Linked DNA regions of Canis lupus familiaris. The protein of the gene in region 2 purifies or fractionates together with the protein of the main gene of each other region. This does not show direct contact. Links are inferred from orthologs where the notes say so. Each region holds a gene or a part of one and is shown on either strand. Other genes may lie near its edges.

Region 1 (5,134 bases), on a different chromosome or scaffold from region 2:
CAGCCAATGGGCTCTGCTCACAGATCCAATGTAGGGCCAAGAAAAAGAGGGGAGTCAAGAGTTAGCCAGTGATTACTCCCAGTTTTCTGGCCTGCGTCCCTAAGAGGATGGAGTTGCCAGTTACTGAGATGGAGAAGAATGGGTGAAAAGCAGATTTGGAGGGAGGAGTTTGACATGCTCACTCCACACTTGTGTGCAGCTACTAAGTAGGTACTTTGATGTATAAGGCTGTAGAGAAGAGACTGTGTTTGTTTGCTTGCTTGTTTTACAGCTTTACTAAGGTATAATTGACGTACAATACACTGCACATATTTAAATATTGAACAACATACAACTTAATAAGTTTTGAAATTTTTATTTGTGTTTAAATTTTAAAGCACTGTTGTTTTTATTTGTGTTTAAATTTTAAAGCAACCCAAGTCTCCATCGACAGATGAATGGAGAAGCAAAATGTGTTATGTATGTACAATAGAATATTTTTCAGCCTTCAATACGAAGGAAACTCTGACACGTGCTACCTGGGAATGAACCTTGAGAACATGCTAAAGTGAAAAAGCCTGTCACAAAAAACAAATACTTTCTGATTGAGTTTATTATTTTTTAAGATTTTATTTATTTGAGAGAGAGAGCAAGTGAGAGAGAGAGAGAGCAAGAGCATACACACACACACACAGAGAAGGAGAGAGAGAGAGATCAACAGAGAGAGGGAGAGGGATAGGGAGAAGCAAATTCCCTGCTGAGCAGGGAGCCCAATGCAGAGCTCCATCTCACTACTCCGGGATCATGACCTGAGCCAAAGGCAGTCACTTAACCAACTGAGCCATCCAGGGGCCCCTCTGATTGAGTTATTTGAGGAATTGAAAGCAGTCACAAAGTGCTTGGAGACAGAAAGTAGAATGGTGGTTGGCAGAGGCTGGGGGCGGGTAGGAAGGGAGGGTTATTGTTTGATGGGCACAGAATTTCAGTTTTGCAATGTAAAAAAGCTCTGGAGGTTGGTTGTCCAACAACGTGACTATACTAAACGCTACTGGACTATACACTTAGAAATGGCTAAGATGTTAAATTTTATGTTGTGTTTTTTACCACAATTTAAAAAATGTAATACAGCAAAACAGAGTGTGAACAGCAAGGTATTTTTGTTTGGCAAATGCAGATTTTAGTTCATACACAGGCTATGTTACTATATTTTAATATCTTTAGGATTGAAATTTATTATTTGTGTCAGTTCAGGTCCTCTAAGCCAAGGTGGAATTAGACTTGTGAAATTTATTTAATGGAGGAAATGCCTGTGGTGGACAAGGAAGATGAAACTGGAGTAGATAGGGAGAGTGTTCAGGCCACAGTACAGGTCTCATACTTGGGAAAGAAAAGAGGGAGGATTGGAGAGGAAATTTCTCAGATGATAGCATCTAACAGCATTTCAGCCAGGCTGATGGGGAGTCCCTAAGCCAAAGTTCCCCCTTAGATGAGTCCCTGTAACCACTTCTCACCTGAGGTCACTTCTCCTTCCATACAAAATAGATGACCAGGTGCCACTCACAGCTCTGCCCTGTGAAAAGATTTTCCTCCTCTACTGTCTTTCAGAGCCTTCCATGAATGTGGTTGTGATGCAGCCACCCTCCGTGTTGGGCTTGTACTCACATTCCAAACCAGCCCACCTCTAAACCAAGTTCAGGCTTTTTCCTCCTTTTTAGCTGGTTGTGATCCTGTCCCCTCTCTTAATATGGTCATGAGTGTAAATGGGTGTGAGTGTGGTGGATGACAAGTAGGTCTGGACTTCCTGCTCATGCAGCTTACTCATGCTCCCTGGTCCTTCTGGGACTCGATCCTGGACAGAACATTTCCATTTTGCAATGGACTGAAGCTGGGCCTGTCCAACTTTATACCTCGGTGGGTCCAACAGGACTCACATCACGATGAGCAGGGCTGGATGCATGCTTTTTATAAAAAAATTATTTATTTATTCATGAGAGACATAGAGAGAGAGAGAGAGGCAGAGAGAGAGAGAAGCAGGCTCCATGCAGGGAGCCTGATGTGGGACTTCATCCTGGGACTCCAGGACCATGCCCTGGGCCAAAGGCTGGTGCTAAACTGCTGAGCCACCCGGGGATCCCCTGGATGCATGCTTGAGCGTTCTGTCCCTATGAGGGTCTAAAACCAGGCCAGGAGCTGGTTTTCAAACGGTGTGAAATATCCTCCTGTGGACTGCATGGTGTTTTTGCAAAATCCTGTGTCCTCAATTGTGGTCCCTCAACTAGATCTTACTTTAAGCTTCACACTGCATCTTTCCCTACCATCAATACTTCTAACCTTATGGAACTTGTGTGGACCTGCCGCACAGAGTCCTTTCTGGCCCTCTTGGGGCGGGCCTCTATTTGTATCACCTGGTATATGAACATCTTCAGTATCTCTAAACGTGGTCTGCATTGCTCCTAGAGAGGCCTACCAGAGAGAAGAAGGTGATGGCAGGGCTCAGCCTCTCTGCCATCATCTCCAGTATTCCACTCTGGCCCCAAATCTGCACCCTATGCAAAATAACCAAAATCCAAACCCCCCAAAACAAAAAATCTTTCTTTGGAGTTTAGTAACTGTATGTTGATGCTAAGGTGCGTCCCTTATGGGAGGAGGTGGCTGACCTCCACTCTAAGCAGTTTATTATAGCTTGCCTTCTAACCACATCCAGCGCGCACCTGACCGGGAGAAGGCTGCTCACCTTGGCCTTCTTCCATCCCAGGGCGGGCAGACAGAACGCCAGGCTGCCGCCCTGCGGGTCCTTGCGGGGCACACATCAGTGTAGAACCTGACTGTAGGAGCTTCGGGTTCGGCCAGACCTTGATTCCATTCCTGTGTGACCACGACCAACTCCGCCAAGCTACTGCTCAGTTCCTGATCCGTGAAATGAAGACAGTAATACTAATTTCATAAGACTGTTTTGAGGATTAAATGAAATGATGGCTGTGAAAAACTGTGAGGCACCACATTGTTGCTCTCGTCACTCCACTTGCAACAGTGGGTTTAGGGGCTCTTTCCCTCACTTAATCTGAAGCGAGAGCTGGATTCAGGATTGTCTGTTCCTTACGTTCCCCCAGCACATAATGGCTGTTTCGGTGCCTATTTAGGGTTGTCTCTTGAATTTATACCATTTAATAATCGGTCAGCTTTTCCCTTCTAGGAATGCAGGATATCGGTGTCTGAGAGAAACTGCAGTTAGTGTGGGTGAAGCACCAGGGGGTGAGCAGACATAGCGGCCTCACAGCGAGGCGGGGGAAGGAAGACACTCCGACAAGTCAAATGAACTTTCCGGGTCTGTTTCCTCTACTTGGAGAATAAGCAGAATAAGAGAGAATGTTACGAGAGCGTTGCAAGGACTTGCCTCAACCGTGCTTGGCACAGCGCCAACGGCGGAGGAAGCGCGGCGCAAGCAGCAGCGGCAGGTAGCGGCGTGGTGACGACGGCTGCTGAAGGAGGGTGGGAGGCCGCTCGCTCGGCGCCGCGCGGAGCCGGCGGAGGCCCCGCCCCTCACGCACGCGTCCGGTCGCTCCGGCAACGCGCCGCGAGGTGGCCGCCGGCCGCGTGACGCTCGGCCGCTCGCGCTCGGCGCCCTCGGTCTCTCGCGGCATTGGCGAGGCTGCTGGGGCGCAGAGATGACTGATGAGGAGGACTCCGAGACCGCCGTCGTCGAGTTGCAGGGCGGGGAGGAGAACGAGCTGCCGACTATCCAGCTGTGTGAGCTGGTGGAAGAGCTCAGGTAGGCCGGGGGCCCCGGAGGTTCAGAGGTCAACTGTACAACTTCCCGGTCTCCCAGAGTATCCGGTTGTAGCAGCGGAGCGGCTGTTACTTCACTATGTCCGTGAACAGTTGAGGTCAGAACTGAGGTAATCTTATTAATAGCTACAGTTTTTGGAATGCGGCATGACGTGCTGGGGGGAAAAAGGTGTTTTGATTCCTCCGGCTTTCCATTGAGCATTTTCCACTAATCTTAAATTTTAGCCCACAGGAATTCCCTCAGTATTATCCAATATGCATATATTCATATATATCGTGCACACATAACTTGTATGTTTTAAATATGTAAAAGTTAAAAAGGTCAAAATCTTCGCATATTACAGGATAAACTAGGTTTGTCATCCCCAGTTTATTCCGAGCCTTTCCACCATTTACAATACGCTGCTTGTGGATACTTCATCTCTCTGGTGCTGGAAGGAACAGCTGAGAAACATAAACCAAAGCAAACATCCGAAGATTGTGGATATGTAGTAACTTCAAGCATGTAGTAATTCAGAAGGAATTTCATGAATGGGTTCGAAGATACTGGAAAGTGGAATTTGTAGCTTCATCTCAGCTACGATTTTCAACATAATGCCAGTTTTTTCAGTTTTGTGGCTTATTAGACATTTGAAAAAAATCAGATATTTATTTTTTTAATTATTTATTTATTCATGAGAGACACACACACACACACACACACACACAGAGGCAGAGACACAGGCAGAGGGAGAAGCGGCCTTCATGCAGGGAGCCCAATGTGGGACTCGATCCCGGATCCCGGGACCACCACCAGAGCCGAAGGCAGCCGCCCAACCACTGAGCCACCCAGGCTCTGAGCCGTCCCAAAATCAGATATTTAAATAGAACTTACTATGTGCAAGGCACTGTTCTAAAGGCTTTGCCTTTCTTATTGCAACTCTTCGTAATAGGCACTGTTACTATTCTCATTTTACAGATGAGGAATTTGAGGTACCAAGCAGTTGAGTGTTTTGCAGAAGGTAAAGGTAGCTGCTAAGTATTAAATACTAGTTATTTGGGGTTTGAACTCTTATAAGTAGAACTTACTCAGGTACCCTCTGTCTTGCAGCTATGGAAACTCTGCTCTCAAAACTGAGACAGAGATGTTTGAGAAATATTATAATAAACTGGAGCCCAGGGATCAGCGACATCCACGATTATCAGAAATTATATCAGGAGCCGAATTTGCACAGGTATACTGTGGAGATCTAATAATTCTTTTATTCTCTTTGTCCCTTTAGATACAAGTAGTATTTGTGTATCTGCCTCTGGTATGTCCTCTTTGGCATATAATTCTCTCCCTATTCTACTTTTGATTCTTCCTTCCCTCCCAAGGTTTTTCTTTCAA
Region 2 (4,358 bases):
TATAAAATATGTCCTTTAAGATTTCTAAATTCAGGGGCTCCTGAGTGGCTCAGTCAGTTGAACATCTATCTACTCTTGATTTTGGCTCAGGTCAGGATCTACAGGTTGTGGGTCTGCCCAGCTTTTGGCTCCATGTGGAATCCGTTTGAGGTTCTCTCTCCCTTTGTGTGTGTGTCCTGTCTTTGTCACCACCCGCCCTGTACCCTGCTAAATAAAATCTTTAAAAAAGATTTCTAAATTCACTTCCAAATTATTGGGAAAATAACTCTCAACATGAATAACTTACAAAGTATTCATTTGGATATAGGACTTCTGGCTTTTACAACAAAACTTCAGTGGTCAGACTTTATCAGCCCCAGCCAAGTGGGGGGATGGGGAGAGCTTTTATTACTGAATCTTCCTAGCTTAGATAAAAATCCTCATTAAATATCTAATTTAATTTAAAGAAAAACCTTAAAAGTCAACAATTGGATCTGATTTGTCATGTTACGTTTTCATTTGTTCAAGAGGGCAGCTCATTTAAGAAATGGTACCATAAATACTATTTATGTGCAAATAGATTTCATTATAAGACTGGCTTAGTGCTACAATGTAACATTTAATATTACATTGCTGCACACAACCCTTTTTTTTTTCCATATATAAGGCTAAGACTTTTACAATAGCTCCCACTGCAGGTAAAAACTGTATTTAATAATCTCAAACCATAGCTAATGGAGGAAAAGAGCAAATTTGTCAGAAAATCAGTACAAGCACTTTACTATTAAAATTTTACTTTTTTTAATAATTTATTTAAATAAGATATTTGAAGCAGTTTAGAAAAACAAGATTTGTATTTTATTTCCTTGTAAAAATCTTTACACATGCAGACAAACCAGTGTTAAGAAAGTATTCACCATCATTTAAACAAATAACCACTTAAATAGAACAGTGTCTGCAATTTTATCTGTATAAAAATAAGATACATTTTTACAGAATTCACGCTCCAGTTCTTATAGCAATAAACAATACACAACTATAATAAGTACAATTGAACCTGACCATGGTTTTCAATTAGATACTGCTAGGGCATTTTAATGTGCAAAAAAAAAACAAAAACAAAAAAAAAACAACAAAACAAAAACCAAAACAAAAACCAAAAAGGGGAAAGAAAAAAAAAAAAAAAAAGCCAAGAAAACAAAAAACCCCCAAAAAGCAAAACAAAAAAAAAAAAACACATAGTTTTTCCAAAACAAAATGTCTTCAGTGTTTCTAGAGACCTAGAGGGTTTTAAGAAATCATATCCTAATCAGTTTGTTTTAATGTTTTTGATTATGAGTCCATACATCACACCATAGATAGGCAAAGCCAGGAACTGATGCAGGCTCAAAGAAGAAAGTCAGCGCCTGTGCCTGCCATGTCCTGAGCGGCTGCCACCATGGTGCTTGCCTTTATGGGACCTCTCAAAGGAGCGAGATCTTTCACGCCTGTCCCTATGATGTCCCCTTTCATGCCTGTGTTTCTTGGCAGCATCTGAGTGATCCCGAGACTTGCTCTGAGATCGAGAACGAGATTTTTTCCTTTTATGACCATGTCTATTTGAACTTTTTAAATCATCTCTGGTGTGCTTGGCCTTAAGGTGAGGAGAACCATGATTATGATGTCTTCTTGGGCTTTCACTGTGACTGCGGGACCTGCTTCTTGATCTTGAGCTGTATGTTCCAGACCGGCTCCGCCTATTATTATAACTTAGATAATAAAAATTTGAGGTTTAGATTCAGTCTCTACTGGGACCAAATTATTTTGGTGGTGCTTATAATAGCTTCAAAACAAAACTATGCTTTTTGTTGAATATCTCACACATGCTCAAAAGAGCCACTGAACAGACATAAGCAGCTAGCAAACTAATTACAAAGCTAACTTGGGAAGACTCTTTGGCCAACTTGAGTATTGGTTATTAACAGTTAATAAAATATTAATATTTTCTAACTGAAATTGAACAAAACTCTTTTCACATTATAAACAAGGTATTACAGCTTTCCATAGCACTTTGTGGTCAGCCCCTACACCTCTCCAAAATATGGGCAAAAACAGAATAGCTCATAAGCTACACCACCCCAAAACAGAAAAGCCATGTATAGGCAGGACATACTTCCAAACTCCTTTCTCGTAATTTACCTCATGTTAAAATATTAAATGTAGCCCAACTGCGACATCTACATTAAATTTTTTAAAAAGTAGGAACCTAACTCCAAATAAGACTCCTTTCTCTAGGAGAATATTTACTTACTGTCTTCTTGGAGTATGTGATCTAGAACGTGATCGCGTTCTTGATCTTGACCGACTAGCACTTCTGCTATTTCTACTTCTTTTGCTGTCTTTTCTTACTCTTCAAAAAAAAAAAAAAAAAAAAAAAAAAAAACACAAAAACAAAACACACACACACACACACACAAACCCATTATTTTAGGTACATGTTTAGTGTGTTAGAAATTAAAAACATAAAAGATTCCTTAGACCAGTTTTCTAACTCAAGGACACTCACCCATTATAAGGGCTTTTGGAAGCCTGTTGTCTGTCTTCAGGTTCTTTCTTGACTGTCTTCACATTGACAGACACTGGTGACTTCTCTTCAGCTTTCACTTCTCTTGGTGATGCTTAAAAAAAAAAAAACAAAAACAACCCAATAACACAAAGTCATGTTACCTATTGGATTTAACAGAGGGCCAAAAAGTTGTTTCTAAATATAACTCAAGTACCCTGCTTTCAAGTATGATCTTGAGTTGACTAACATGAGAAAAAACAGTAACAGATTCTTCTAGCATTGTTTCTATGCCACTGCTAAAGCTTTCTTTTTAAGAAGATTTATCTACTTCTTTATTTAGGGCCGAGGGGGGGCAGGAAGAGAGGGGACGGTGGAGAAAAAAATCTCAAGCAGATTCAGCACTAAGAACAGAGCCTGTCAGGCTGAGATCATGCCTTGAGCCAAAATCAAGAGTCGGATGCTCAACTGACTGAACCACCCAGGTGCCCCTAAATGCTAAAGCTTTCTAATAACCAGACACCTTCAGTGCCCAGTCATTTCAATTCTGAATATATCTTACATGGTTTAGAGGCTGGAGAAAATCCACCAAGGGTTGAAAGGGCTGGAGTTCCATCGGGATTCAAACCCTTTGCTTTTAATTTGGCTTCTTGTAAGGCTACTTTTCTTTTCTCTACTTCTTTTTCCAGCAATTCATAGTTTGGCTAATGGAAGAAAATGAAGTAAGTATTTTCCCCTTATACTAGTTTAGACTCTTAGCACTTAAACATGCGTAAACAACTACCTTTTTTCTGGTATAAAGCCTAAGTGTTTCTATGCAGATTTCCTGGATCTCCTCTTCCGTAGTACCAAAAAGAAGAAACCAGTGGGGACGAGTTGGTAATGGAATCTAAACCATAAAAACAGAATGGTTTAGATCAAATTTCAGTTTTTATTAGGAGGACTGCTAAGTCTTGTGTTTTATCCTATAGAAAAAACAGGCTATATATACCTACCTGAAGAGCTCTAGCTGCAAGGTAGATACAAGCACATGCTATAGTCTCTGGTTGAAATCGAACAAATACATTGGTTCGAAGACTGTCATTCATATAATTCCTGAAAAATATTTCAACCATAAGCTTTGTACATAAACAAAACAGCCAGTCTGAAGCTTACATAAAATTGGAGACTCAATCTACTTTATTCTTTTTTCTTCTCATATTTATATTCATATCCTCATATTCTAGCATATAACAATTCTTAAACTCAAAAATCAGTAAGAGGTAAGAATTTAACACTAGAACCATTCTCCAGTTTTCCTATAAATGACCAAAGTCCTTTAAAATAATCCCATAAAAAAAAAAAAAAAAAAAAAAAAAAAAAAAAAAAAAAAAAAAAAAAAAAAAAATAAAATAATCCCATATTATTCCAAATAAAACTTATTTTTATATATTTCTATAAAAGGCAATACTTTGAAAGTCAATTTTGACATAACTAAGTTTCAGAAATGATAAACCACTCCAACAATACTTCAAGCCATTAATCATTGACCATCTCTCCTTTATCCACAATAAAAAGCAGTGTCAACCAAGTTCTTTCAAAATCTCAAAATATTGTGACAGGGGTAAAAAGGCATTTTCAGTAAGCACTCACCAAGTTATATTAAGACAACTAAGTAAGCTACTTCAGAAAATTTAGATAGGGAAGAGCAGTAAATATACAAAACAGCCTTGTTTACATACCTTTTTTGTGACTGAGTATAAACAAAAGCAATAAACTACTTCAGTTAATAAAATGCTGGACTTTTTTATTAGTGAACCCTCCCCGCAATATCCCTAAAGTATTAAAGAAACTTCAC

Evidence for each region.
Region 1: the proteins of CCNL1 (region 2) and CSNK2A2 purify together in Homo sapiens (affinity purification with mass spectrometry; 4 studies listed by BioGRID and IntAct, with this or other methods). This does not show direct contact. The link is inferred for Canis lupus familiaris from reciprocal best matches to the Homo sapiens genes CCNL1 and CSNK2A2.

The regions. Positions count from the first base shown.
Region 1 is NC_049223.1:57,630,075-57,635,208, reverse strand, and holds the start of CSNK2A2 (casein kinase II subunit alpha'), read right to left. Parts: upstream 3,448-5,134; 5' UTR 2,714-3,447; intron 1-2,713. Other genes in the region: CCDC113 (coiled-coil domain-containing protein 113), read left to right, coding at 3,652-3,875, 4,856-4,979.
Region 2 is NC_049244.1:51,193,354-51,197,711, forward strand, and holds the end of CCNL1 (cyclin-L1), read right to left. Parts: intron 3,617-4,358; coding exon 3,517-3,616; intron 3,411-3,516; coding exon 3,306-3,410; intron 3,226-3,305; coding exon 3,084-3,225; intron 2,637-3,083; coding exon 2,525-2,636; intron 2,369-2,524; coding exon 2,270-2,368; intron 1,728-2,269; coding exon 1,379-1,727; 3' UTR 815-1,378; downstream 1-814. UniProt on the Homo sapiens protein: Involved in pre-mRNA splicing. Functions in association with cyclin-dependent kinases (CDKs). Inhibited by the CDK-specific inhibitor CDKN1A/p21. May play a role in the regulation of RNA polymerase II (pol II).